Daphnia pulex: one gene and its partners. The protein of the gene in region 6 interacts with the protein of the main gene of each other region in a biochemical or structural test. Links are inferred from orthologs where the notes say so. Each region holds a gene or a part of one and is shown on either strand. Other genes may lie near its edges. The genes, in order: mitogen-activated protein kinase kinase kinase 7-like, DNA repair protein REV1-like, E3 ubiquitin-protein ligase CHIP-like, cullin-3-A-like, RING finger and CHY zinc finger domain-containing protein 1-like, polyubiquitin and protein DDI1 homolog 2-like.

Region 1 (3,943 bases), on a different chromosome or scaffold from region 6:
CCAGCGTGTTGACTGAAGGACCCTTTCCAACGAGACCTTGGGTTCCCTCTCTCTTTCTCCCGCACACGACGAGAGAGAAGGAGAAGAGCGCAGCGACTGTAGAAAAAAAAGGCCAGGACGGAGGGGGTCCGATAGCTAATAGCAAATGTGTGCGTTAAAAATATCCCGCGTGCGCATCCTGTCCGTGTTCGTGTGAATCATCACCGCGAGCCTTCACCAGCGTTCTAAACAAATACTTTGATCGGGCAAGCGTGATCGAATTTTCTCGGGAAAATAAATCGAATGCTGATTGACCAACATTTTAACACATAAACAAAAGTCTGCGGCCGAAATCCGCATTGGAACAACAACCGACTACGGTTTCTGCACGGGAAGAATTTTTTCGATAGTTGCGCAACATGACCAAGTTACCCGCGCATCGCATTCCGCCTCTATACCAACTCTTATCTATTTCCTCTCTCTCTCTCTCTATTTAGTTCGTTCCATTTCTTTTCCTATTTGTTTCTTTTCTTTTTCTTCGTTCCTGGGTTAATGTGTCAACGCTCCGGCCTGTTCCAACTACTGGTCGGGTGATGCACACAGTGCTGACGCACGCATTAAGTATGCAAACGACTGCGTACTAGGAACTGAGTCACATTTTTACACGGCACATTGACCCAACAAGTACCACTGTACCTGTCACGATTGCATGACATGTAATTTTTGACCAGGATAGATTCAAACATTTACTCACCAATATGACGTTGACCAGGCAGATTTGAAATGCAAGGCATCGATTGCTGTGGAGTGACACCAGTCCATAATTGGGAAGGATTCCCGTGTGAAGAGGATCTGCGGTGGCCCATGACGCTCACATTTGCGGATTCTTCTACTCTTCTAGCTTCTGCTCCGCTCCATCCGGAAGAATAGGGTTGAAGAACTGGAAACGACGGTACTGGAGACGTAGGGACGCATATGTCAACGTGAGGAAATTCCGCTGATCTTCTCTTGAACGGATGATCGAATTGCTGAGGTCGACGGGGAGTTTCCAACGGCCCTAGTTGCCCTATACTTTCGTTGGCCGTATTAGTCATCTGTGGCTGATAAGGTGACTGCATTCTTCCTAGACCACCCTGTAAGAAATCCTCGCCCAATGGCGGTATGGCATAGCCTTCGGCTGACTCGTCGCTTTCTCCGCCAATGATTAGGTGCAGTGGCTCGCTAACAGTGCTAGTGCCTCCTATTATTCTAGGTGAAAGCAGCTTGAGGCTACTGGGCGTGACAAGCGAACGACCTGGCTGCAGCATGTTTTCCTTTTCGCTGAGCAGTTGGTTAAAAGCTGGCAGTAAGCTGTCTGTTTCTTCTCGATGGGCGGGAGTGACAGGACGAGCGGGTGAATGGTGGTACTTTGTTCTAGGAACAGGCAGTGATGTCAAAACTGCACTGGAACAAGAAGAGTTGCTCAAACTGGGGTCACTGCCACAACTTTCCAAGCTGGCTCCTGTTCAACATGTCCCGAATGTATATAAAAGGTAATAACAATTAATTCGCAAAATATTTTACCACCAGCTTCGATCAAATCCGATTGGTTAGGGTATTCGAGGGGTGGAATTTCGTCAGGGAAGAATTGAAACAAATGCGATATTTCTTTGACGACTTGCTCCATTGATGGTCTGTTGTTTGGATCTTTATTCCAACAACTTAAAAAAAGAAAGAAATGGATTGAAAAATTAGCATTCCACCAAAGTGGTTGATCATTACCTGGTCATTATGTTCTCTAACGGAACGGGGCAGCCTTTTATAAGAGGGGGACGCTTGCCTGTGTGAATGGCCCACATTATGGTAAACGCCGAGTCTAATATGTGACTAAACGGTTTTTGACGGGCTAGTAACTCCCATAAAATGATACTCCAACTAAACACATCACATTTTTCAGTGTAGTGGTTGCCTAGAAAAGAAGAAAATTGAGCCAATAATTTTGAAATTTGCAAATCTTCTTAAGTGTTACCTTCAAAAACTTCAGGTGCCATCCATGCAGCACTACCTTGCCCATTAGTCATTTGAGTTCTCATGTCACATGCAGTGCCAAAATCACAAATTTTCAAAACTCTACCCTCCATCATTAATAGGAGGTTTGGTGGCTTAAGATCTCTGTAAGCACCCCCACAATGAAATTAATTTAGTTACACACCAATGAAGTTAAATGTAAGAAAAAACACCTGTGAATGATGGCACAAGGCTTCATACCATGTAGGTAAGCTACTCCTCTTGCACACTGCAGAGCCCAGTTCATAGCGTGATGGAAGGTATAAGATATCTTGGAGCGGCAATGTAGAACTAGACTCAAGTAATGTAGTTAAAGTTCTAGTGTAAAAAACTGTAGGAATTTACCATCATATAATGAAGCTTCAGCCAATTCCATGAGAAGACAAACTGTTCTCTTTGTGGAAGCTCCATACAGCTTTACTATATTAGGATGTGATACTCTTGACAGTTGCCTTATCTCAATCATGAAGGTTTTTTGTTCAGCTGATGTGTTAATTTTTTTAACTGCCACAACTTTGGATCGCCAAACACCTCTGTATACCACCCCAAAAGTTCCTCGTCCGATTTCCTGCACGATACGCAGCCAATCTTAGTGTAAATAAAATCAGTACTTAATAATGGAATGTTACAAACCCGCAATTCTTCGACTTCACTTATATCTATTTCCAAGTCTTCTGGTATTGTTTTTAAGTCGCCAGAAAATGTTTCTGACGAATCCATGATTACAAATTATATTTACACAACTACAAATCCAAAAACAAGTTTTGTTAAACAAAATTTTTCGTATCAAACTTTTCGTCTGGTCCGATCTTCCTTCTTTACTGCCATCTAGCAACAAATTTTGTCACCACCACGAACCACCTAGCAGACGTCCCTGCTGGACTGTCACCAAGACAAAAGTTCACTCGTCTTTCAAAATCAACACAATGTTGGTTTAATGTGATTGTCATTGTACTTACTTCGTATGGGTAACTTAAATAAATATTTGCACGTTAAATTGCTTGTACAGCCTAATGAAAAGTCTTTGTAATAATCAATAATAACATGGCTAGTAGCCAAACGATTAGAGACTTTATTCTAATAAGCGAATTCTGTGAAGTCGAAGGGCCTCGTTGTGTTTTGACTATCCCAGCTGTTCTACCTCATCTGAATAACAATGAGAATTTCAATCTGGATGAATTTCTTCTTTACATAATGACAACAGATTATCAGAATTTTCCAGGGTATTTATTTTAAATTATTCAAAAATTCTTTGGGTTATTTCATACTATTTTAATCCCACAGGGAAAAGTTGGATGAAATATCTGATGTGCCTTGCATTCGGACCAACATCATTCAGAATTTCCATGCCATCCTTCATTACTTTACTTTGAAGGATTCTCAGGCAAGAGGAGGTGTGCGTCCTTCTTGCATAGCTTACATCACTCAAAATCAGACCAAGCTCTATCGTCTGAAAAATGAAATCCTCAATGTTCTCAACATGTCTGCCCAAATATTGAAAAATGCAAACATGAGGTGGATGGGGAGCTTAGGACAGGATGTTGGAGTACAGGTAGACAACAGTTACTGTACTTTGACCTCCTACAAGTATTATTTCTTTGATCCTTGACAGGAGAACAACACTATCACTAGTCTGCTTGACAAATGGAATCATCTAACTCAGCCAGAACCTGAATTAGGGGATCAAGAAAAGAAGCTTAAGCCATGGCATTTGCTCTGTCCCATAGGAATCTCAATTGTGATATCAGGTCTAATATTTGTGTATAAAATAACCTGTAGACCTCTGGAAGATCAGATCTTGGACCCAAAGGTGATTTGTTCAACTTATGATTTGTTTACCAACGTAAACCCCGATAATGTTGATTTTAAAGCTGTAATGTCTCAATTAAACAGTTTTATATTATGATCAGTTTGTATC
Region 2 (3,952 bases), on a different chromosome or scaffold from region 6:
GTTGTTTCAAAAGGATTTGAACTTCTTTTTCGACGATTTTGGTGTCGCGAGTGGCAGAACACAATGTTGTGGATCGAGAAATGCTATCACATACTCCGTGACCCATAAATTTCGCTGTTTCTACAGGGGCATCTTTGGCGCGGATTTTGAGCTTCAAAGTCAACAGTTTTCCTCTCACCTAAAGAGACATTTAACAAAGTTAAAATTGCTTTCGCTGTTAAAAAAATGTTTAAATTAATTACGTGAATTTCTTCCATTCGTTTGGACACTTCAATGGACAGTTCTTGAACGAATTTGTGCATTTCCTGATCATTTGCGAAACGAATTCCATAATTTATATCTGCCGAAACAGATTTTCGAACGTGGTCCGTCTATGTGGACCACGCAATATTAACAATTTTGAAATGGAAAGTTAACCTGAGACTGAGATAATACCTTTAGAGCGCGTTTATCTTCTCCCCGGCACATATGATATAATGTTTGTCCTTGCTTTTGACCAAACTCTTGTTGGAGCTTTCCCAAGCTTACCTGATTTTCAGAAACACAATTACATATTTGTTTAATGAAATAGAAGCTATGTACACATACTTGCTGCATTTCAACACAAGTGCGAACGCCCATGCCATGAAGTCGATGAGCCATGGACCTTCCGACACCCGGCAGATCTTCAATTTTGTGGTCCTTCATAAATTCATTCATGTCTTTCTTGTTGATATAAAACAGTCCGTTCGGTTTGGCTTTTTTGGTTGCAAGCCTAGCCATCAGCATATTCGGGCCCATTCCGACAGAGGCGTTACATTGTGTCTTATTAAAGATGACTTCTTTCAAATGAGTAGCAAACTCGGCTGGCGTGAGTCCACTTTGGCGCAAAACGGAGGTAATGTCTGCGTACAACTCATCACAGCTGACGGCTTCCAAGTCCAAAGTGTACGCGGCAACAGTATTGTACAGCGAGGTGGACACCTTAAACACGCCCACAAACGGAAAAATGAATTAAAGATTTTAAATAATTGATTGTAAATGTATTACCTCCTTGTATCCTTCAAAATCGTACGGAATGGCAACCAGATTAGGACATAATTTCAAGGCACCTCCCATGAACATTCCGTTATAAATTCCAGCTGCGCGAGCTTCGTAGCTACACGAAGCGATTTCGGACATGGAACAAGTTTCATCCAAATCCTGAAGTCGTGGAAAAACATCTGAAAGCGTAGCCACCGTATCAACAGCATTGCTGTTATTTTCTGAAAATTTCGATTTTTTGATCCAATGTTCTTTATAGCAGTCGAATTCATATTCTCGATTGCTGCCTTCGCGTCTTGGAAGCGGTTTAGCGTCAGCTCTTGCATGGGTCACAACAACCGGTTTACCCACCAACGATGGATAGTTGCGCAGTCCAACCGAGACAAAGAAGCAATCCATGTCAATGTGCATGAAAACAGTTTCTTCACACTTGTAGTTTCCTAGGCAACCAGTCAAGTTCTTCCAGTTTTCAATACTTTCCATACCTAAATTTTTAAATATTACATGTAATTGCATTAATAAAATGCTGCTATCAAAATTGTACCTGGAAAAACACCATCATTTTTCTCTCGAAGCTCAGTCACATGTCTTTTGAATAACGCTCCCATTGTGGAAATGTGGTGAAGCCTTGAGCGTTTGTAAAATTCAGATAAAAAATCGTCTTCTCCTGCGCGTTTCATTTCTCTTGAATGTCTAGTAATATCACCAGGTGGAACAGGTTCAGAGGAATGTGCTTCATCAATTTTTCTTTCTATTGCTGTTTGATTGTCATCATTTTTCTTCTGTATTGAAGCAATGTCCAACTTTTGTTGCCCTTTGTCTAAAGTTAGCCCAGTGTAAAGCAAATAGGGCTTCACATCCAATAACATATTGGCTTTCAGACTTTCAACAATCCATTCTGGCTTAACAAATTTTTCGTCGCCCTTGAGTTTCTTGATTTTAGCACCACACAAGTTGGACGCAATTATATGAGTAGTCGTTTTTGAATTATAGTAATGGTGGTAAACTCCTCCATTGGCCAGCATGATGCGCTTCAGTTCTTCTGCAGTTGGACTGGTATATCCATTGACAAAAATTGCAACATTTGAAAATACATTGCTTAGTTTATCATCTTCTTGTACTTCATTGAATTGTTCATTCAAATACTGATTTTCTAGTTTAGAAATTTTTGCTGCCATATAACCCCCCTGTAAATAATGATTCCAAATATGAATAACATAATTAGTAGTGTCAGAAGTCGAATAAGTCGTCTCACCCACTCTGCAAATCCATTATCGTCCCTATTTTTCCTTTTACCCCTTCCAGCCATCGTTTAATAAAAAAGAAAATCTCAACACTTGCAAGAAAATTTTCCACTACATTTGAGTTTGCTGTGCACGTTTGTTTACATAAATTGTTTCAAAAAATATCACTAGATGGCAGAAGAAATTGCGCATTGCCAGATATTGTAAATCGCGTGTTCGGAAAAGATATTTTGAAATTTTAGTTTTTAAAAAATTAAATAAAACTACTGGATCAGGACTGTTGTTATTCTTTTTGAAAGTGTGGAAAGACACAAAAAAAGATATGCCAATTACTAAAGAAGATTTGAATGTTATCAGGAAAACAAATCTCAAAATGTAGGAAACAAAGGAAGAGCATGGGAAGAGGAACGCCCAAAGTATTTCCTGTTTGAACAATTATAAAACTTCCCAAATGTATAGCAGATGATGATGGCCGGAGATAATTACATGTATCCTCTTTTTCATTTGATGGTTTGCCAGGGGTATTATCTTCATTCGTATTTGTGTGTTAATCAGAAGAAGACGATAAACTGCCAGTTTTGTTTCCCAGAAATGGAACAACGTTATTGTGTCTCTAGGTACTTATCCTTGGCTGGAATTATAATAATGTTTGTGATCACTATAATTTGTTATCATCAGACATCGATCACTCGGGAAAGAGTAATAGTGCGCATCCACCCTAATGATGTGTTATCCGAGTCCCATCAGACGAAGAACATTCTATTGTGGAACGGTTACGATCGAATCGAAATGAAAGTCTTTCTTAGAAGTTTGCCCAACAATAACTCGTGTCCGTACAGGAATTGTCGAGTCACAACTGATCGTCGATCAAACTTACTGGGCAAATTTGATGCCATTATTTTCAATATGGCTGTGCTTCATCAACTGGAAAAGTCTGACAAGCTGCCACCAGCCGACACACGGGAGAGTCATCAATATTACATCTTTTTCAGCCAAGAATCACCTTTCTATCACAAGGAAAACGTCCAAAAGGATTACATCGGATATTTCAACTGGACCATGAGTTATCTGCCCGAATCAAACATTCCTTATCCGTATGGCCGGATAGAACGGGCAGCGGTTGATTTAAAATCCAAGTCTTATCTAATAAGGAAAAAGACAAAACTGGTCGCCTGGTTTGTTTCGCATTGCAACACAACTCAAAGTCGGCGAGAAAATTACGTCAGAGAATTGCAGAAGCACATCCCTATCGACATCTTTGGTCTTTGCGGTCCGTTGAAATGCAAATGGAACTCTGATACGGGGATTTCACATCCGGAATGTTACGACATGCTGGAAAAGGAATACAAGTTTTATCTGTCGTTTGAGAATTCACTGTGCAGCCATTACGTCACGGAGAAATTCTATTCGATATTGAAGCTTGACGTGGTGCCAGTTGTCATGGGTAGGGCCAATTACAGCGACATTGCTCCGCCGTATTCATTTATCGACGCCCTGAGTTATTCACCCAAACAACTGGCCGATTACTTGCTGTTGCTCGATGGCAACCAAACACTTTACGAGAGGTACTTGAAATGGAAAACCAGTTACATTATCCGCAGTGGATATGAAGAGATGGGCGGCCAGGCCTTGTGTTCTCTTTGTGCACAACTCAATCTGTCGGATGACCGGAAGGAAATAATGCC
Region 3 (3,439 bases), on a different chromosome or scaffold from region 6:
TTTAGTAATACGAAAACCAGGTACTGAAGGCGAGCAGTGCGATGCAATCATTCATCGTAGCGAAATATTCCATTTAGTCAAAGGAGAAAGAAAATTACTCTAAAATCTTTTTTTGTTTTTTTTTTTTTATACAAACACGAGCTTACGCAAGATATCAGGCATTTTTTCTCGCCAAAGGCACCACACATCCCGAATAGGCTAAGAAATATGAGTAGACCGCTGACGGCAATTGCAACCACGATGTTCATAACCATATATTTGTCGTTTACCACCAAAAATTTCTGTTTGTCTGATCCTTTTGCAAATTCTTGACGTTGTACAAGTGACGACGCCGACAAGGAGATTAATACAATGCCGCTCAACTGCATTTCAAAGAATATGTCAGTATCATATTTTATGAAAAGCAATAACAAACCCAGTCTTCCAAACGCAACATTTAATTCGATAATTTCAACCATCTTCAGTTAAATTCTTTAGTAAACTCACGTTGGAATAATATAACTGTTAATATTTTAACAAATCTACAATTACATTGTAATAGAATAATATGTTTACCAGGATTAACAAGTTGAGGCACAAAAAACTCCATCGTAAAATCTTGTGGGAACGGAACGTAACCTCGTCCGTCATTTCCCTTTGACTGTTTTTCCAGTTACTATTTCAAATCGGAATGAAAGCCCGTGTGATAAGGAAACTTACTGTACCACTAACAGGAAACCCAAAATCCGAGTAAAAGAAAATACATTTGCAAACAAGCAATACAGCCGGAACCCAAACGGTATAAAAAAGTGACGTCTATCATTAATATCGTAATCCATAAAACCACGTTGACTCCACCAGTTGGTCTCACGCTTCGAAGTTTTAACTCCTGAGATGGTCACACGATTAAATAAGTAAATAACCAGAATAACCACTGCGGATCGCCTACTGTTCTCTAGGTTAAAGCCCAGCAGTGCGCAGTCAAAATTGTACGCGCGTGTATCCAGGTCGGATGTATATCACTCCAAATAACCTTTTCTTTTGCTTATTTCAATAAATTCTCTGCTTTAACAGCTCTAATTAATTTTCTTATCCTAATTTTCAAATTAGATAGGAATCGTTATGGCGTCTACTGCGCGTATTCATCATAGATTAAAATCTATTTTTATTGGATGGTAGATGGCGGTGAAAAGGTCTTTCCACAATCCGCACTTTACTTTACTTTCATCCGCATTTTATAGTTTATTTATTAAAAGCGTTTTTGTTGTTTTCCGCTTTAGTGTCAGAATATCTGACGTTAATTGGAATTGTGCAATTACGTTTTCGTATCTATTTTATGTGATAGTGTTGCTTTTTTAAATTCTTTCTCGATCCTACAGCACCCAATAGTTTCTTTTTTAGAGAAGAAAATGAGTGACAGAGAACACAAAGATCAGGGGAATAAGTTGTTTTTAGCTCGACGTTTCGATGAAGCAATTTCATGCTATTCCAAAGCCATTGTAAATTTCTTTAATTAAATTAAGCATAAATTATTTTGTTTTGCAACGCGTAAATCAAAGTAATTGTAATTGTTTTCTTTAGCTTAAAAATGGTTCTGTTCCACAATACTACACAAATAGAGCTCTCTGCTCTCTCAAGCTTGGCCGTTGGGATGCAGTAGTGCAAGATTGCAAAAGTGCTTTAGAGTTAGACAACACTTGGGTGAAAGGTTTTTAGTATAAATTCTTCAAAATACTCTGAAAATGCTATATATTGCTATTATGTTTAGGGCATTTCTTTCTGGGCCAAGCTTTAATGGAAAAAGAATGCTATGAGGAAGCAATAAAACATCTTCAAAGGGGTACTCATTTCCCCAACTTAACATAAATTTTGAACACATAAAATCTGATTATTGAAATTTGCTTGTTATTAGCCCGTGATCTTTCGATGGATCAGAAACTTAATTTTGGGGATGATATTACCAGTCAGTTAAGACTGGCAAAGAAGCATCATTTTACAAAGCAGGAGGAGAAAAGAATTTCACAAGAAATCGAACTACAGGTAGTCTGTTAATAACATTCTCTTTGTCCACTCCACTTTGCAAAAAATTATGATTCATTTGAAACTTGGATTTTATTTTGATAGATGTATATAAATAGGCTCATTCGAGAGGATCGAGATCGACAAATCGATTTGGTTAGTCAAGACAAAGAATACAGTTCAGTGGAAAACGAAATTTCGAACATAGAGAACGTCACCGTGAGCATATCTAGAGTATTTTTCTTGTTTCGTTAGTAGACTAATAATACTTGATTAAAATCGGTAGGATCGCTACCTGGCTGAATTGAATGACCTTTTCGCAACCGTCGATGACCGAAGAATGGTACTATAAATTATTCAACTGTGTGTTTCAGTACGTCTTATACCATTAAGAAATTGTCTTTGTAATTGTGTCGGTTAGAAACGTGAAGTTCCAGACTATTTATGTGGCAAAATCTCTTTCGAGATCATGAGAGATCCAGTCATCACTCCTTCAGGAATAACCTACGATAGGAAAGACATCGAAGAACATTTGCAGGTAAGTGAATTCAAAATTGCCTAGTAGATATTAGCCAAAAGATTTGTTTTTACGCAGCGAGTTGGACATTTTGACCCTGTGACGCGAGTTAAATTGACCAAAGACCAATTGATTCCAAATTTCTCCATGAAAGAAGTTGTCGACTCGTACCTGACCGAAAACGAATGGGCTCAGCACTACTAACCACTTTTTTAAGGATCATTCATTGATTTTGATTCTCTTAAAAACTCCGCCGCATTGTATTAAATGAAATCGATATATATTATGATTTGAATCGCCGAGCCCCAGTTGTGATGTTTCCTATCGGGTTGGATGATAATCAGGAAGTAAATGTTGCTATACAGTCTTTCGCTATTGATTGCACATTGCTGTTGTACTTCAATAGACGATGCTGGAAATTTTATATATACCTGATTATGAACCTCCTATTAAATTTGATTTTATTGGGATCAGAGTTCGCCTTGAGCAGATTCTACACCTGTAGGATTGCTCCAATCTTTCAATAGGTTATATTCTTTAGACTAAATTATCGTCTCCTCTGACAATTGTTTGTGGGTGATTGATTTTATTACTTTAGCCAAAGGCAATTGATGATTTGCAGCCGAACTCTATTGGTACGTTTCCTTTCATTAAGCACTTAATTGAGCTTGGCGTGGTTCGTTGTGGATGTGGCCAAGGACAATTGTATCAGAGTTGGTTAAGTTGGTCATTAATCAGGGGGGTCGACTTGAACGGACGGTACTATCGATCCTGGTACAGCACGGGACTGGACCGATATTCACTTAAATTATAATAAACGTCCCATGGGTAAATTGTGTTTGCCACGTCGTCAACTACAGTTATTATCTTATCAGCACTCTAGAGAGAAGTCTGTTGTGTATCTTGCAGTGTGCATACAAGGGC
Region 4 (4,214 bases), on a different chromosome or scaffold from region 6:
TTGGGACTTTTGACAAGAACGCGTTGAGTCGGTTTGCCCATCGCAAGCGATTGCAATGCACGATCCAGATCTTTTTTCGGAACGTCAGTTTCATTCATGATATCCTATAAACAGCATCAAATATGATGAATAAGAAATCATTAAGTTCTACGTGCTCTTACTTCGTAAGTTAGCCTATCTCGGGTGTTAAACAGCATAAGAATACACATCTGATAGGTTGAAACGGAGATTATGTGTTTTCGCGGTCCATTAGCTGATGACGAGGGTGTTGACGAGCTGGGGCCATCACTTCATGGAATCAATCGAAACATTCGATAAGATATGCTCAGTATATAGAGACAACATATAAATGTTCTTACGTTTTTTCTTTTGTCTCAGACTCCTCTCGTCTAGGTCCATAAAAGATTGCGCTCAGATCAGCCGACCCTAGAGCGGGTTGTAGCGTCAACTGTCGCCCACTGTGCTTTGCTAAATAAAATCGGCGAAAGACCTCAAAAGCGTTGCGTGGTGCCAATGGTAGTGTACAAGTAGCTGACGATTGTGTTGGCCAGAATCCAGTTGTTAGTACGCGAACACTCAAGTCCACTCCGTAAAGGGAGGTCTAATCAATAATCGATGGTTGGAAGGCCGTTTTATAATTGCATTTTTTTACTGGATATTTCTTACCCCAGAAGTTTGAATGTGATTTTTGAAGTCTTCCATGAGCATGTTGGAGATAGACATATCCTTGAACATGCCCTCTAATTTCGAGGTAAATTGACACCCACATTCAGTCTAACAAAGTAATTAAAATGTTAGTACGAGCTCAATAAATTGGAAATGAATAAATTACCTTCAGCTTAGAAATCATGTTCTTCTCGCTATCATCGCTAACAGATTTGTTCAGCAGCAGGCGCTTGGCCAAATGTTGTTTATAATAACGCTCGAAAATATCCTTTTCCTGGAGAAAACGGAACAAAACCATGGTTTTGTCGAGCACCAGTTCTATGTCCTGCTCTGTCATTCCTTTAACGCCCTTCTTGAGCTTGTCATCGATAAAGAGTGATAGATATTCGGGAGATTTCAAATTCAAATTAAGAAAATATTCAAAATCTGAAGAGATCATTTTCTTAAAGATTGGATCGTTTACGAAGGATTTTCCCAGAAATGTATCATAGCGATCCTTAAGATCTAATAGACTCTATAGTGTCATTAGAAATCAAAATGAAAGAAATCATTATTACAGAGAGAAAAAAAGGTAAATTTTAATAAAAATACCTGGACAAAATTCAATGCATTGGCACCGGATTCGTCGACATTAACCAGTGCTTTGCCTTCTTCTCGTAAATGCGCGCTGACACAACTAGCCATGGTTCGCAAACCATCCGCTACACGACCCAACAACTTGTACATACAGTGTAAGTCGTCAGTTTTCTGGCATTTTAACATGTGTACTACACCAGAATTTTCCATCTAGTGTGAAAACAAGAATTATTTTTCTGTATAGCATTTTTTAAAACACACTAATCTAAGTTTTACACACCTCAACAATCGTTTTCATGTGTTTCTGTATAAGTTCCTCTTCAACTACTGCAACAATACGCTGCTCGGTCGACTCATCCAAATAATGTTTGGCTCTTTCCGATTCTTCATTAATGCGCGCCTCGACTTTCTTTATGTAAACTGAAGCTGAATTCTCCCCTAAAAACCGCTGACTCTCAGACTGTGAAAGCAAAGTAAAAAAATAATTAAATAAATTGTAGAAAAATTAACAACCAAGTTTTTGTACCCTGTAGAATTCTGCAGATTGAGAAAGAAAAGGTCTTTCAAAATCCTCTTCATAGACAGCTCGACTGTCTATACCCAGCACCATGAGCATTTGACAAGCTGCTCTAACAGAAAGCTTATCTGCAACTTCTCCTTTACGCTCTCTGACAACCATTTCCAAAAGAATATGCCTTAGGTGGTCACGAATGCCTCCATAACGAACAACCTTATAGAAAGTTCAATTAAAATCAAATCCAACAATAAACTATTGAATTAGGCACTTACTTGATCACGAAAAATAATCAATCCAAGATTGTAAACATTATCAACATTATTTTGTTGAACATAAACTCTGTCCATGTACATGAGGATGTCACGAATCATAACCATAGATGTTTGATGATCACTCCATGCTTGATTTAGAATGTGAAGGAAATTGTTGTTCAAGGAAGAAAGCACATCTTGACGAACCTATGTGAAAGTGATCAGGCAAAATCTTTAGTAAAATTGAAAATTTTTTGAGCAAGAAAGATATTACTTTAGATTCTAAATGATGAGTAACAACTTCTCTAAGGCCATTGTACAATCTCTCTCCATGTTTGTGTAGAACCATTGTGTATGCATTTCGGTAAAGTTCTTCAAAACTAAGACCAGAGTTATTCTTCTTCTGAATTTCTTGAATGGCATTCTTCAGTAAACTCCAAATATTTTCCACATACCTCTCGTCCATCGTCATCTTTATTGAGAAAAACAAGAAAACAATAACAAAGATATTCTAATGCCAGAATGAAGTGTTATAATAAACTTTACAGGGAATGCACGAATTCGCATTTTTCCTTCTTTCTTTGAACCGCCGCCGAGACCACCTTTCATCATCGTGAAACTCACTCAAATTTAAATAACGAAACGAAAAAAATACAAGTATCGGCCAAATATTGATAGTTCCGAAACCTTTAAAACGTTTCCATCAAACTAGTTGGCCCCCCTTGTAAGCAAAAAAAACAGGGCAACCTAAAGGCTAACCTCTCTTTCCTTCTCTTCCTCAGAAAACTCAACGTTGTATTTTGCCATCTAGCGGCTAAATTGAAACACATCCATCTGAAGGACAATGAAAAATGGAAATCACCTCCACGCATTTTTTATTCTTTTTAAAATACGCATCGACATTGGCCACTCGCAAGAAAAAGACTTTATTAAATATCATTGATAAAAAAATTATTCGTTTGTTTCATTTCCGTTCAAAAAATGCTCATAATAATAGCTAGGGTTAAGGGTTGGCAGAAAATTGTGTTGAATATTTAAAAAAAAGGCACTAAAAGTAAAAAGTCACATTCACTGGAGAACTCGTAATGAATTATGCGCTTTGAGTCAGACAGTAGCATGCTCCTTGCTAATTTTACTAATATAAATGTATTTATGCATATCTGTGCCTGCCACAGCGCCGTGCGCATTGTCGTATTCTTAGGGAAATCTTAGCTCTTATCTCTTATTAAAAAAGAAAGGACTTAGGAAGGACTTACATAATTCGTTGTAATCTCGGATTCAAATTCTCTCAGCTTCGTTTCATTGAAACCCAATATCGCAAATAAATTAAGAAGGATTTATGCTTAGCCACCACGACAACGTCCAAAGACTTATTTATATTCTGAATAAACTATTATATAAGGAAAGCTATAATCAGGAGCTTTGTTTAACTTTAGCCAGTTTACTGTTGTTTTAAAACCAAGAATATCCATAGACTAGAGGTTTTTATTTACTAAAATGGAATGAAGAATGGAGGATGGGGGAAAAAGTGTTAGATTGTCATTCATGTTCTTATACAAAGCACTTGTGTAGGTAAACATCCGATCGCTTCCAGTAGTTTCCACTACTTTTTAAAGGAATCATCATATCTACAAAGGCTAAAGACTCAAACAAGATGTAACAATTAACACCACACCACACAGCACACATTATGAATCCAAGCTTAGTTGGGGGCTAGCCATATTCAGATGGTTATCAATCATCTGAAAAAGTTCAGGGGGTTGAGGAACTCTACCAGTTTCCATTTTAGACCAAAGTGGAACATCTGTAACAAAAATAATGATAAGTAGGTAAGTTAATAGGGAAGTAATGAATTCAATGAAATCTCACCATTTAATGTGATTTCAAATGCTCCAGTTGAAATTAATTGGCCCTCAACAGCATTGCATAGAAAGAAAGTCATCAAGCACGCATAAAATTTGTTCTGCTGAGTCCACTCCCAAACTGAGGGAGTTTGCACACCTAAATGCTCAAAAATATTGGTTCCCGACACCACTACAAGGATGAGCAGTATTTTCAAAATTCCCTGAAACAAGCAATTATATCATGATAAAGAAGGGAGTTTGTTAACTGTATGTTTAAAACAGACATACCAAAATAGATGCAATCTTTTGGTTTAAATAGGGTGGAGGATGGTTCTCTCCTTCGATTGCCAAAGATGGGTA
Region 5 (4,033 bases), on a different chromosome or scaffold from region 6:
GAAAGAATGTAAAGCCTCTTGATTATGACGACGAACAACCAGCAAACCCAACTGAGAATGATGCTTTGGAACCAGCAAATTGTTCGAAGGATGCTAACCCTACTGCTCCAAATTCAAATATTCCACTCGACAGTTTGCTGAATTCTCCCCTTGGACAAATTGGTTTAGAACAAGGTGGGTTAACCGTCGTTGAAGTTCCTGGAACTCCTAACCAGGCTCCATCTTTTCTAGTCCCTCCAGCTCTTGCAGAAGCCAATCCCGCGTTTGCTCAAGCTGAACCCGGTAGTTTAGTGTTGGTGGCAGAACCCAATCCCGGAGATCCTAATAATCAATTGGTACATGTATACCGTATAGCCGAACCGTTTGAACCGGTCTCCTAATAAGATCCCCTACGCATTTTGCCCAATCCTTCACTGTTAATTTTTTTTTTGTGTGTGCGTGTGTATGTTGTTGCCATCCAGAATTAAATAACGATCTAATTACTGCTTAAGGCCAGTGAATAAGGTAACAACGTATATTTATACAGAATTGTTATTTGAAAATGTTCAGAAGGTACATTCCACATAGAATTGAAGAGAAGTGCTTAATCAATTGTAATAATATGACATGTAAAATTACAAGAAACTCACAAGCTGCACAGAAGAATCTTCATAATTTCGGATATGAACTTTTCTGGCAGTGTCCATTTTCAAACTACTCGAGGAGTCATTTCTAAATGTTACCCATTGTTTTTGTCTGATGTTTTTTTTTACTCACTACGGTGCATTACAATATGACGGCAATTTAGCCACTGCAACGAGGTAAGGGCAACAAAACAGGTATCAAACATCAGCAGGATGGCTGACGGGGTACGAGTAACTTGAACGATAAGAAAAAAATTCACAAAACCTTTCGATCCAATTTCACGAACAGGCTCCAGATGCCTACCGCCGAATAAGGTGGAAGATTCACGGATGAAAATTTAAAAGCCTTTAAAATACAAACTCGACCATTTAGTAGATGGCCAATAAAATTATTGCATGTCAACAGAATAAAACCGCCGTCCAAGTAAATGACAAACAACATCCTATTCCCTTGATAATCATGGCCATTTATTCCGAGTTAGGAGATTGTTCTCTGACTGCTTAAAAAAAAAGAGAAAAAGTTGATTTGTGGTACGCAGTTCCTCTAGATTAATAAAATTATAATTACCAGGTCTATTAACAGGACCACCGCTTCTGCACGTATTGTACGATCCACATGGTGCATTTTGGCACTTCGCTCCAAGGGGATGCATTGGAACTTCAGAAAACTGCAAAAAAATTGTTAATTATAATAACATTTTAAAAACTCTTTAGTGCCGAGAAATGACTAACCTGATGGCAGTCGTTACATAAAATCGTGACAAAAAAATTTTGATATTCCACTGGCATTGGGGTTGAGGCAATTTCATCGTCTAAAATGCGCCAGTACTAGAATGGAAACACAATTGGTAACGTTATAATTCGTTTTATAAATTTAAATTTTAGTACCGATTCCATCGGCATCATTGAACGTTGACAAACTGGGCAGGCATAGTGACCACGATGAATAAATGAATTGAAACATGTTCGGTGAATCAGATGACCACATGATGGGATGTGTGAAGGAATTCTTGATGTATGAATATCCTCCAAACAAATTGGGCAATTTGTTCGGCTCATCTTTTCAACGCACTGTAACAGAGCAAAAATAACTAATTGAATGAACTAAAAACCAAAATAATTTATGTATAAATTAGAATCCCACAAAAATGCTTACTCTATGCTGATTTTCAAGTTTTTTTGGTAAGCACATATCACATGTTTGGCAGTGGAAAAACTTGTCCCTTCCTCCGACTCTACATATTCCTGAAAAAGTAAGATATAGGAGTTGTCACCAAAGATTAAATATAATTGGTTTTAAAATGTAATAATAATTACCACATCCTTCACAGTGATACTGCTTTTTATCTTCATCATCAATCAACTTGCACTTTCCACAAAAATACTGCAAAACAAAATCAAGGTTTCTTTATTTTGAAAAAAAAAAGAAAAGAAAAAAGTCTGATACTTTACCTGTCCAAAGAGGATACCACAATTGGAACAGTTTTGTTGAACTGGTTGTTTTGTTTCACACAATGAACACATAATTTCATCCACATTTTTTCGGTTAAGGGTGTGTTCCTCCTTCTCATCATGACAAAAACGGCAAGTATAAACTTTGTCACAGCATGGTGTCTACAAAACAAAATTATTGTTTAGTAAAATAATAAATAATTAAGTATTTAACTTCTCAATACAACTTTAAACAGGATTACTATAAAACCGCATTATCTTCACGAGGAGATATCATGGTCATTTTTCAGACATTGTGCCCACAGTTATTTCCCGACCAACTTGAGTTACAACATTACTTGGTTAAGAACAAAGTGTCGAACTACTTACCACTAATTTGCATTTTCGTTTATAATGTTCGCAACCGTATTCGACATTCTCCTCAGCCATTTTATCTCCTCCACCTATTCCAACGAGTCAGTATCTGGCAGTGTGTGTACACAGTGTAAAAGAAAACACGAGTTTCGGCCAGTTAGTGTACAGCGTGTAGGTTTGGGCTTAGCCTAGCGGCATGAACATGAACTATGTTGGGTCGACTTCTTTCCGAAAATTCCTAACTTCCCACGTTTGTCTTGTTTGTGCAGCAATTTATTTAAAAACTAATTTCCCAATGGAATCCAGAGTAACCAGCAAGTTAATTTTCATCCAATTTTCTCATCTCTAATCTTTAATTGGTTAATCACGAACTTAAATTTGTTGTGACGAGATGTCGCTAGCTCCCTTCCTTGTCCTTTCTAAAAGCGGTTCTTCAAAATCAAAACACTCGAATGTTGCCATACTGTTTTATACAGTCTATCGGAGTGCATGTTTTGAAATATTAATGGACTTAAGGCCGGGGACCGGGGTAAGGTAGGAGAAAAGGAGGAAAGGAGAAAATCGAAGAAATTTTTTTTTACGTTCAAATTGAGAAAAATATGCAAATGACCCTACCTATTGAAAGGGCAGCAAGGTCCTTGAAAAACTTAGTTGTTCTCGTGCGGCCCACGAGGTCGGATGCTCAACAATTTGGCAGTAGAATTTGAAAGTGTGTATAGCGCGACTGTGAACTCTGACTGAATAATTATTGCCATAATCATTTCCTGTGATTGTGAATTGTGAATCATCGATCTCGTAAGCAGTTGAAAAGAACATTGCCGAACAATTGGGGACAAAACACCATAATCGACCAAACCGCCGACCCTCAACATGATAACATCAAATCCCACGTGTGACCATTACGAAGGTAGGAAAAAACACTTAAACGACTTTTTTTGCGAGGTTGTGCATACTCTGGTAATTTAATTTTCTATGAAATGTACGAAAGATTGTAAGCCAATGTGACCTGTTGCACATAAATAGCTGCGACAATTGAAGATTTTTTACTTATTCACGAAAACTTTTTTTAATGTCGACCTTGTCATCCCCTTTTCCTTCTCTCGCATGGAGATTATAGTAGCATTGCAAATTTTTAAGATTTTGTTGGGTAAATTTGTTTAGAAGGCCTTCAATTTCAATTCATGTGCGTTTTTTTATTCGACGAGAAAGATAAGTGACCCACGTGTTACAGACCGTTGGCTGTAGGTTATCAGATGAGGAGCGCAGCGTCATTATCGATCAATTTATACTCTCATTTTCTTTCTTTGGAAGACATTTTTATTTGAACCCGCAACTTTCAAAGAATTGGAACACGAGTCTTTTTATTGATAGAACGTTCGAAATATCCACTCAATCAAACCAAATACAATTACTGACAAAATCTGACTCCCAAGTCCCAACCCCGTTAGTCTTTTGATTTTTTCAAATTTCCGAATATAATGGCATTCTTGAATTTCTTGGGGTTTCGGATGCCGTACGCTTTGAGGCGATCGTCAGTTATGTCAAAACCACGAATGGTGGCCGATTTCTTATTAGCTGTTGTTTCAGTTGCGTTTTTGTTTTTC
Region 6 (4,144 bases):
GATTATATATTTGCGTTGCCGAGTTTTTGCCGAATACTCCATGATGTGCATCAGTACACGTTGGAAAAAATGTAATCAGGGTACATATTGTAGAGCTAATAAATTGTCATCATTATAGTAAGCAAACAAGGAAAATCCCTCCAATAATGTTACCTTCTTTGTCTTGGATTTTAGCCTTGACGTTCTCAATCGTGTCGGAAGGTTCAACTTCAAGGGTGATGGTCTTTCCAGTGAGAGTCTTGACGAAGATCTGCATACCTCCTCTCAAACGCAAGACCAAGTGAAGGGTAGACTCCTTCTGGATGTTGTAATCTGACAAGGTACGACCATCTTCCAGCTGTTTACCGGCAAAGATGAGACGCTGCTGATCGGGTGGGATACCTGAGTAGAAGAATGGATTAGATTTTTTACGCCATAGAAAGTTGTTTAAGTTCTAGAATTTATATCAGTACACGTTGGAAAATAGGTAATCAGGGTACATATTAAAGAGCTAATAAAGTGTCATCATAATCGATGGAATAAAAAATAAAGACTGCCCCAAATTATTACCTTCTTTGTCTTGAATTTTGGCCTTAACGTTCTCAATTGTATCCGATGGCTCCACTTCAAGGGTGATGGTCTTTCCTGTAAGAGTCTTCACGAAAATCTGCATACCTCCTCTCAAACGCAAGACCAAGTGAAGGGTAGACTCCTTCTGGATGTTGTAATCTGACAAGGTACGTCCATCTTCCAACTGCTTACCAGCGAAGATCAGACGTTGCTGGTCTGGGGGAATACCTACAGAAAAAGCAATAACATTGAAATTTCTACCTAAACATTCTGCCATTTACCACGATACCACATCAGATTTAATTGTAATCATGTTGTTGATATTAGCGTATATAAAATTATCATCATTGCAGAACAACCGAACTTTCAAAAACTAACGTACCTTCTTTGTCTTGAATTTTAGCCTTGACATTTTCAATTGTGTCAGAAGGCTCAACTTCAAGAGTGATGGTCTTGCCAGTCAAAGTCTTGACGAAAATCTGCATACCACCACGGAGACGAAGAACCAAGTGAAGAGTCGACTCCTTTTGGATGTTGTAATCAGACAAAGTACGGCCATCTTCGAGCTGCTTTCCAGCGAAAATTAGACGTTGCTGATCGGGGGGAATACCTGTAGACAATTCAAATCGTTAATATTATCTAGTAGATTAATGCTACCAAAATCATTTAACATTTAAATTTCAGATTATTTAGTAATCAGGGTCCATATTTAGGTGTCCTAAGAGTGTCATCAGCAACTACAATAAATTTCTCTTCTTATTTTTTTCCATTACCTTCTTTGTCTTGAATCTTGGCTTTAACGTTCTCGATAGTGTCAGAAGGTTCAACTTCGAGAGTGATGGTCTTTCCAGTAAGAGTTTTAACGAAAATCTGCATGCCTCCGCGTAAACGTAACACCAAATGTAATGTTGACTCCTTCTGAATGTTGTAGTCGGACAGAGTACGACCATCCTCCAATTGTTTGCCGGCGAAGATGAGACGTTGCTGATCGGGTGGGATGCCTGAACAAAGAAACATTTTGTAATTTCAATCAGACAACTATGGAAATTAAAATGTATTGAATACTTCAGGTTATTGCGATATAATTGTAATCATGAAGAAATTTAGACACTCTAAATGTCATTGTAATCCTAATACTCATCAGGTTAATTTAGTAACAGTAGGCAAAGGTTTGATAGTTACCTTCTTTATCCTGGATCTTTGCTTTGACATTCTCGATGGTATCAGAAGGTTCAACTTCCAGAGTAATGGTCTTTCCAGTTAGTGTTTTGACAAAGATTTGCATTCCTCCTCTCAGACGGAGGACCAAGTGCAGGGTAGATTCCTTCTGGATGTTATAATCAGACAGGGTACGACCATCTTCCAGCTGCTTGCCAGCAAAGATCAAACGCTGCTGATCTGGTGGAATGCCCTCCTTATCTTGAATCTTGGCCTTAACATTCTCGATAGTATCAGAAGGCTCAACCTCAAGGGTGATGGTCTTGCCAGTCAATGTCTTGACAAAGATCTGCATCTTTTTCTGAAGAAACGAAAATTAAACTTACTTTAGTATCATATACAAAACCAGTTTATCAGAAGTTTCATCATAACCAATCGTCATCATTACGTCACGTCGAACAAAGGAAAGTTACGCCCATGCATAAATTTTATTACTAGCCAATTATTTTTAAAGAAGTTGCAATCAAAACTAATGTAATACAAAATGTTTCTAGTAAATTTCAATAACTGTCTCATCTTACACCATGAAATATTTTCCAACCAGTTGTTACTAAGAGAAAAGAGATGAAACGAGGAAAGAAAATGGCGGACACAATCGAACAAAGGGACAACTTGCCACGGCGTAAATTTTTCGTTTCCCCCAAAAAATCTTAGTTAATTTAACTAGTTACACACAAGAACAATGGATATCTATTCAGGACAAAGAAATCAAAGGTTTAACTTACTAAATTTGATCAATCAGATGATAAAGTTGAATTAAAATATGTGTTCGACGAAGCAACTGCTAAGACGTTCTGCTCGAGTTGGGTGCTGGACGCGAATTGATTTTTAAAATGGCTGACGTCGACTTATATAGACGCGACAGAAGCGCCTGGGGAGGTTCGTACCAAGTCCCCTGCGGCTTTCCCTAGCTTTTTCTAGAAGGATTATTTCGTATTTTCGTTTGTCGTTAGATAACGTAACGATGAAACGTCACCTTCTCAAACGTGACTACAACGACAGAGAAACAATATGTGACGTAGAATATTCCGTGATTATGAAATTTGAGCTAATTCTGGAAGTTTCCACATTTTTATCTAAGTGACGTTAATTTTGTACGGATTTGCCTCAGCCTTGAAATAATCGCGGATATCCTTTATTCCTTTATTTCTCATACTTTCTATTTCTTTTCCACCAAACTTTTTGGGTCCAATATTTTCATTTCAAGTAGGTTGCGAACCTTTACGAGATAATATTTACACGTGGCAGAATTTTGAAAGTAGAAACACGTATGAGGTTGCTGGCAAAACTTGTATACAAATAGAAAGTGACGAAGAAAAAAACAACTAATAAGGAGAAATTTCTTAATTAGACCGAACAAGATAAAAACCGTTATGTATTTACGCTTCCATGACTCTGAATAAAACTATAATTCATTGCAAATAAATTCCAATTCAGCGTCGTTTTACATAGGTCTTTATTCAACCTTGAGTTTAAGGGGATTATAATGTGATGATGTTCGCAAAAATGCGCAGCGGAAATGAGTGCTGGTGTCGACGTGTCCCACGTGTTTAATTTGAAGGACTTTGGGCAAGGCTTCTTTCTGCGTGTATAGGACTAATCTGCCTCAGGTTTGTTGGACTTTTCCTGTTGGTGCTTCCTTTGATGACGCAGTAAATCAATGCCGGTCAGCTCCACAGTGGTGCGACAATCAGGACAGAAATAACCCGTTTTCGACTCGGAAGCTTCTGCTGGTTCACCCTGACCTAAATAATAACCCAACAAAACGGAAAATTGTAAACTGGATAGAGGGCAGCAAACAGATTGTTAAAAAACATTTCATACCTCCTTCCATCAACTCTTTTGTCTTCTGGCACTGGACCTGGTGCCTCAATCGCCCTAGACCCGTCAGGTAGAAATTGAGTTCGCATATAGGACAAGCCCATGGTGTGCTGAGATAATCTTGGGTGAAATCGGGTTCTTCCAAACTAGAAAATCGGAAATTTTCTTATAATAATTTTTGAGTTGTTATTTACAATGATAAAATTTCATACCATCCGTAAACAAGAAAGTCGGCCATTTGCAGCCCACCTTTCCTTGGATGGGCGACTGCTTGGAATTCTGGCCAGAACGGGTTAATCTCATTTGGCATTTCTTCATTTGGAGTTTCAGATTCTAGAGCATGGCCCCGGTAAATAACCTTCAAATCAGCTGCTAAAAGTCGTTTAATGGTGTACAAAATTTGAGTTTGCGTGAAGGCAATCAGGTCGTAGTGCAAATCTCTCTGCATTCGTTTCATTTTCTGTTCCAGTTTCTGGACGTCTTTCTCCTTTAGTGGACGATTAGGATCCAGTCGCAGCATAAGGAGGTCGTTCCAGCGGTAACGCAACTGGCACGC
Region 7 (4,005 bases), on a different chromosome or scaffold from region 6:
GGGTATTGAGGCTGTAGCCATTCACGGAAGCAAAGGTACTGCAAACTATCACAATTTTTAGTTCATGATTTAACTTATTAACATTTTTAGACCAGGAGGAGCGTTCTCGTGCTGTTGATGCCTTCAGACAAGGAATTAAGGATGTGTTAGTGGCCACCGATGTAGCCTCAAAAGGACTGGATTTTGTCAACATTCAACATGTCATAAATTATGACATGCCGGATGACATCGAAAATTACGGTACTAAAGAAATAATGATCATAAAAAAATCCACACTTTAAAATCTGGCTTACTTTCAGTGCATCGAATCGGACGTACTGGCCGATCAGGAAATAAGGGGCAAGCAACAACGTTTATTAACAAATCGAACGAAGAGTCCGTCTTACTTGACCTCAAACATTTGCTTATCGAAGCAAAGCAAGATGTCCCTCCCTTTTTGGCCACACTGCAATCAGAGACGGAAGTTTTCCAAGATCTCGGAGGTAATTTAATAATGTTTTCTTTAAATGAAAAATTTACAACGTTGATTTCAAAATTTACAGGGGACAAAGGTTGCAGTTACTGTGGCGGTCTTGGTCATCGTATTACGCAGTGTCCAAAGTTAGAAGCGGAAAGCAACAAACAAGTTTCTGCCGTTGGCCGTAAAGATTACTTGTCTTACTCTGCGGCAGACTACTAAATGTTTCTCAATAATACCACAATTTATAATTTTTTTGTACACGTGAATTGCAAAAGAACAATTTTAAAATTATTGTGAAAATCCCGATATGTTGTATCTTATCGAAAGAAAAAATTTGGAAATACATGACGACCAATAAATTAAAATTTTAAAGACTTAGCAAAAAGTGCAGCAGTAGCTTGAGTAACGTCGCCGTTAAATCGTCTCAACTCTTCAATCACCTGTAGATCATAGCAATGTAGATTCAACATACTAAAAAATACTAAACTCAAAATTACAGAACAGTAGGCCTACCTGTTCACGGACAAATCCCATAGATACCAAATCTTGAATTTGTTTTTCAGTGAATTTGTCGGCCTGAGGTTGAGTGCTGGGATCAGGTAATGCCGACTCTTGAAGGGCCTGTAAAATAAATTAGTTATACGATGATAAAAACATGTTTGAAGAATTATCTAATCTAAAATAACCTTGGCGAGTTCATGATCTTCCATTTCAACCGCAGAAGAAGATTCGGTTTCAGAACGTGGGCCAGATAATCGGGCACAGTCAGGAAGCTCATTTTCGCATAAAAACGGTGTTTCGGTTCCGGTAGTTCCGATGACCAAGAGGTTGCGTTTCAAATCAATCAAGCACTAAAGTTTGAAAGATTTTACGTTAAAGCTACAGCGTAGATTTTTCAACAACTTTAAAAAGCTAAAATTTACTTGATGGCGTTTAAGCATGTCTAATCCCAGCAGCATGTCCATCGGTTGTTCTTCCAAAATTGAAAACGAAGTGGGTAAAAAGTCATCTCCTATTTGGATCTTTCAAAATAAAAAAAATTAATTAGAGTCTAGTAAAACTCAAAGGCAAATAGCCAAAATTTATACCTGGACCATATGAATGCGTCCAACAATACGCTGAATTCCGACACCTTTAGCAATACCAGCCCAACGACTGTCAACTAAGCGATGGATATCGCATTTTAATGCGCAAGCTGAAGACATAATTGTAGTTTGAGCTCCTAAAAAGTATAAAACGGGGAAATCCCGCAAAAGTTAGTCACAAATCGATTAAAACAAAACAAACAAAAATGGTACCAGAGTCTATGAAAGCCTTGACGGGATGTCCATTTACTATGCAATTTATATAGAGCATAACAACGGTGCCAAATGATTCTGGGTGGTATTCGATAGCTGCTTCCATATTTGCTTCAATATTTTTCTGACGAATTTCATCGGCAATTAGTCGTTGAGCTTCGGCGTCAAAAGGATCAGCACGAGACATTAGGCTTCGAAGTCTCTCTCGTTCTGCTCTGGCAGCTTCTTGTTCACGTAAGACCGCAGTAAAACGAGCTATATGGATGACAAATAACTAGTTGAAGTGTGAAAATAGGAAAGAAATTTATATAATGATGAGACCTAAATCTCCTGATAGCAGTGCATCAGCAAGACGAGGGTTATTCTGCTTGAGCTGGGCAAGTTGGTCAGGATTAGCTAGAAACATGTCTCTTATGAAAACTGGGTCGTTTTCATTGCCCCGATTAGTGTTTCTATTTCCCCTGGAAGATGACGGCACCTGAATAGCACTGAAGTCCAAGTTCAGAGAAGGATCTGCAAGCATCAATACAACACATAAGTCCTGATTTTTTAATCTTTTATTAATCAAAGTTGCAACAATATTCTTAAAGTGAGTGTAGACCTTGGGGCTGATTGGTGGTAATTCTTTGCCTCTGTATGACAACAACATCCCCTTCTTTTAAACCGTGATTCTTCAAACTCTTTGATCCATCACTCATAACTTGTCCATTATAAACTAAACTTATTTCTGCTGCTGGAATACCAGACTCAACTTCACAAAATGCTTTAAAATTTTCCAATTCCAAGTCCTCAGACACATCCAAGTTGAATATGTCATCAGACAGTGTGGTAACTGTAATACGCATATTGTAATTCTAATCAACTTAAGAAATCACCAGTTTGAATTAAACAACAAAAGTTTGCAACAAAAAGGAAATCCTGTAATTAATAACGCAAACAAACAGAATGCAACTTAGTTCAATCACGTAGAGTAGAAAAATACGATTTAATCAAAAGCTGTGACTACACAACAATGTAATATGTATAATGGGGGAAATGCACCGCTGCCACATATTTCGGCTCAATTAAAAAATCGGCGGCAATTGCGAATTGCGATGCAGTTCGATGCAGTTTTTACTTGAGACATAGATAAAGAAGACAGTGGTCTTTATCTGTGCTTGAGAGTTTGAGAATTTGAGATCTCATGTCATTCTTCCTTAATTGTTTTAATTGCTAGGGTAGAGTAAAATCCTTAGATCGAAATTTGAAATGTAAGGTATTTTTAGTTAAACCTATTGCCGGAATTTACTCTACCGTATGAATGAATGTTAAATTTAGTTAGCCACAAATATTGTTAAGTGTGTAATATTTATGAAGTATCTAAAAATGATTTCAATTCCAATTAATCTTAATAAGATTAACAGATCAAAAATGTATCCATGAAATTTTTTAGACCAGGAAATCATCTCAAAGCGATGAAAAACAAGTTATTTACATGTAGACAATGTTTCACCTTTGAAACAGGCGATCACGTCATTCCAGTATAACGTTTAAACATTCCGATACGATAATGTCAATCTCCACTCAAATCATAAACCACATAACAATTCGATTGGAATCTATATGTGTAGTTTTGCCGCTTTTAATTTATCTTCTCCTCCATGTTGTCATAATAAAAAATGCCGAGTTATTGAATAACTAGTTCGTTTTATCTTTGCCGTTCAGATCTTTAGATTGCCACCGCGACTAACTATTGCATTGCTTATACAAATACAACTTGTTTTTTTCAGTCAATCGCTTTGAAGGGATTTTTTTTTTCATTATATAAAAGATAGAGAAAACTGGTTGAAATTTCTTTTTTATAATTATAAAATAAATAAACTCAATAGCAACGAAAATAGATTCTAGGGAAACTTAAAATGCAACTGTTACGGATTTCTTTCATCACTTAGATTTTAAGTTCAAAGGTGACCGTCGTTTGCGCCAGATCTTGAAAATAGTTAATGAGGTCAATACTGCACGATAAATAAAGTGAGAAAATACTGTCTACCTTATGTAGATTCATATTGAAAGATTTAATTAGCGAAAACTTGCTGATTTAGCAGTCTTCTGCAAGGGATCCGTATTCCGCAACTCAAATTCCTTTCTTTTTTTAAAATTTTCTCTTTTCTTAACTCGTGAATTTTTACTTGTTAAAAATTAAAAAATAACAGGTAAATTTACTTTGAAGGAAAAAAATAATAGGAAAAAAAATAAAAATTTTGTTGC

Evidence for each region.
Region 1: the proteins of polyubiquitin (region 6) and mitogen-activated protein kinase kinase kinase 7-like form a complex in vitro, tested with the Homo sapiens proteins (3 studies listed by BioGRID). The link is inferred for Daphnia pulex from reciprocal best matches to the Homo sapiens genes UBC and MAP3K7.
Region 2: the proteins of polyubiquitin (region 6) and DNA repair protein REV1-like form a complex in vitro, tested with the Homo sapiens proteins (2 studies listed by BioGRID). The link is inferred for Daphnia pulex from reciprocal best matches to the Homo sapiens genes UBC and REV1.
Region 3: of the proteins of polyubiquitin (region 6) and E3 ubiquitin-protein ligase CHIP-like, one has a biochemical effect on the other in vitro, tested with the Homo sapiens proteins (2 studies listed by BioGRID). The link is inferred for Daphnia pulex from reciprocal best matches to the Homo sapiens genes UBC and STUB1.
Region 4: the proteins of polyubiquitin (region 6) and cullin-3-A-like form a complex in vitro, tested with the Homo sapiens proteins (2 studies listed by BioGRID, with this or other methods). The link is inferred for Daphnia pulex from reciprocal best matches to the Homo sapiens genes UBC and CUL3.
Region 5: the proteins of polyubiquitin (region 6) and RING finger and CHY zinc finger domain-containing protein 1-like form a complex in vitro, tested with the Homo sapiens proteins (2 studies listed by BioGRID, with this or other methods). The link is inferred for Daphnia pulex from reciprocal best matches to the Homo sapiens genes UBC and RCHY1.
Region 7: the proteins of polyubiquitin (region 6) and protein DDI1 homolog 2-like form a complex in vitro, tested with the Homo sapiens proteins (3 studies listed by BioGRID). The link is inferred for Daphnia pulex from reciprocal best matches to the Homo sapiens genes UBC and DDI2.

Annotation. Positions count from the first base shown.
Region 1 is NC_060025.1:3,027,594-3,031,536, reverse strand, and holds the start of mitogen-activated protein kinase kinase kinase 7-like, read right to left. Parts: upstream 2,801-3,943; 5' UTR 2,746-2,800; coding exon 2,659-2,745; intron 2,594-2,658; coding exon 2,371-2,593; intron 2,317-2,370; coding exon 2,199-2,316; intron 2,131-2,198; coding exon 1,988-2,130; intron 1,928-1,987; coding exon 1,741-1,927; intron 1,680-1,740; coding exon 1,543-1,679; intron 1,512-1,542; exon of another isoform or gene 1,481-1,511; coding exon 734-1,480; intron 1-733. Other genes in the region: guanine nucleotide exchange protein smcr8a-like, read left to right, coding at 3,070-3,248, 3,310-3,577, 3,638-3,931. UniProt on the Homo sapiens protein: Serine/threonine kinase which acts as an essential component of the MAP kinase signal transduction pathway. Plays an important role in the cascades of cellular responses evoked by changes in the environment.
Region 2 is NC_060017.1:8,178,987-8,182,938, reverse strand, and holds the start of DNA repair protein REV1-like, read right to left. Parts: upstream 2,801-3,952; 5' UTR 2,333-2,800; coding exon 2,279-2,332; intron 2,211-2,278; coding exon 1,568-2,210; intron 1,509-1,567; coding exon 1,030-1,508; intron 964-1,029; coding exon 589-963; intron 529-588; coding exon 436-528; intron 372-435; coding exon 243-371; intron 179-242; coding exon 1-178. Other genes in the region: alpha-(1,3)-fucosyltransferase C-like, read left to right, coding at 2,859-3,952. UniProt on the Homo sapiens protein: Deoxycytidyl transferase involved in DNA repair. Transfers a dCMP residue from dCTP to the 3'-end of a DNA primer in a template-dependent reaction.
Region 3 is NC_060019.1:9,014,910-9,018,348, reverse strand, and holds E3 ubiquitin-protein ligase CHIP-like, read left to right. Parts: upstream 1-1,192; 5' UTR 1,193-1,388; coding exon 1,389-1,478; intron 1,479-1,560; coding exon 1,561-1,687; intron 1,688-1,747; coding exon 1,748-1,819; intron 1,820-1,891; coding exon 1,892-2,019; intron 2,020-2,103; coding exon 2,104-2,217; intron 2,218-2,284; coding exon 2,285-2,341; intron 2,342-2,419; coding exon 2,420-2,536; intron 2,537-2,593; coding exon 2,594-2,719; 3' UTR 2,720-2,939; downstream 2,940-3,439. Other genes in the region: CD82 antigen-like, read right to left, coding at 1-23, 147-362, 556-630. UniProt on the Homo sapiens protein: E3 ubiquitin-protein ligase which targets misfolded chaperone substrates towards proteasomal degradation.
Region 4 is NC_060026.1:11,981,844-11,986,057, forward strand, and holds the start of cullin-3-A-like, read right to left. Parts: upstream 2,801-4,214; 5' UTR 2,623-2,800; coding exon 2,557-2,622; intron 2,483-2,556; coding exon 2,285-2,482; intron 2,218-2,284; coding exon 2,032-2,217; intron 1,973-2,031; coding exon 1,769-1,972; intron 1,703-1,768; coding exon 1,523-1,702; intron 1,453-1,522; coding exon 1,258-1,452; intron 1,181-1,257; coding exon 833-1,180; intron 775-832; coding exon 667-774; intron 602-666; coding exon 360-601; intron 289-359; coding exon 162-288; intron 105-161; coding exon 1-104. UniProt on the Homo sapiens protein: Core component of multiple cullin-RING-based BCR (BTB-CUL3-RBX1) E3 ubiquitin-protein ligase complexes which mediate the ubiquitination and subsequent proteasomal degradation of target proteins.
Region 5 is NC_060018.1:4,447,262-4,451,294, reverse strand, and holds RING finger and CHY zinc finger domain-containing protein 1-like, read right to left. Parts: upstream 2,607-4,033; 5' UTR 2,505-2,606; coding exon 2,445-2,504; intron 2,238-2,444; coding exon 2,076-2,237; intron 2,008-2,075; coding exon 1,941-2,007; intron 1,869-1,940; coding exon 1,780-1,868; intron 1,695-1,779; coding exon 1,512-1,694; intron 1,452-1,511; coding exon 1,356-1,451; intron 1,292-1,355; coding exon 1,192-1,291; intron 1,124-1,191; coding exon 1,092-1,123; 3' UTR 501-1,091; downstream 1-500. Other genes in the region: transcription factor TFIIIB component B'' homolog, read left to right, coding at 1-380; protein KRI1 homolog, read right to left, coding at 3,874-4,033. UniProt on the Homo sapiens protein: E3 ubiquitin-protein ligase that mediates ubiquitination of target proteins, including p53/TP53, TP73, HDAC1 and CDKN1B. Mediates ubiquitination and degradation of p53/TP53; preferentially acts on tetrameric p53/TP53.
Region 6 is NC_060024.1:13,920,027-13,924,170, reverse strand, and holds the start of polyubiquitin, read right to left. Parts: upstream 2,801-4,144; 5' UTR 2,493-2,800; intron 2,069-2,492; 5' UTR 2,063-2,068; coding exon 1,732-2,062; intron 1,551-1,731; coding exon 1,323-1,550; intron 1,160-1,322; coding exon 932-1,159; intron 778-931; coding exon 550-777; intron 382-549; coding exon 154-381; intron 1-153.
Region 7 is NC_060018.1:3,461,810-3,465,814, forward strand, and holds the start of protein DDI1 homolog 2-like, read right to left. Parts: upstream 2,801-4,005; 5' UTR 2,604-2,800; coding exon 2,360-2,603; intron 2,272-2,359; coding exon 2,080-2,271; intron 2,014-2,079; coding exon 1,759-2,013; intron 1,683-1,758; coding exon 1,549-1,682; intron 1,483-1,548; coding exon 1,384-1,482; intron 1,312-1,383; coding exon 1,147-1,311; intron 1,082-1,146; coding exon 974-1,081; intron 901-973; coding exon 820-900; 3' UTR 680-819; coding exon of another isoform or gene 300-679; 3' UTR 241-299; coding exon of another isoform or gene 91-240; 3' UTR 36-90; coding exon of another isoform or gene 1-35. Other genes in the region: ATP-dependent RNA helicase abstrakt-like, read left to right, coding at 1-35, 91-240, 300-679. UniProt on the Homo sapiens protein: Aspartic protease that mediates the cleavage of NFE2L1/NRF1 at 'Leu-104', thereby promoting release of NFE2L1/NRF1 from the endoplasmic reticulum membrane.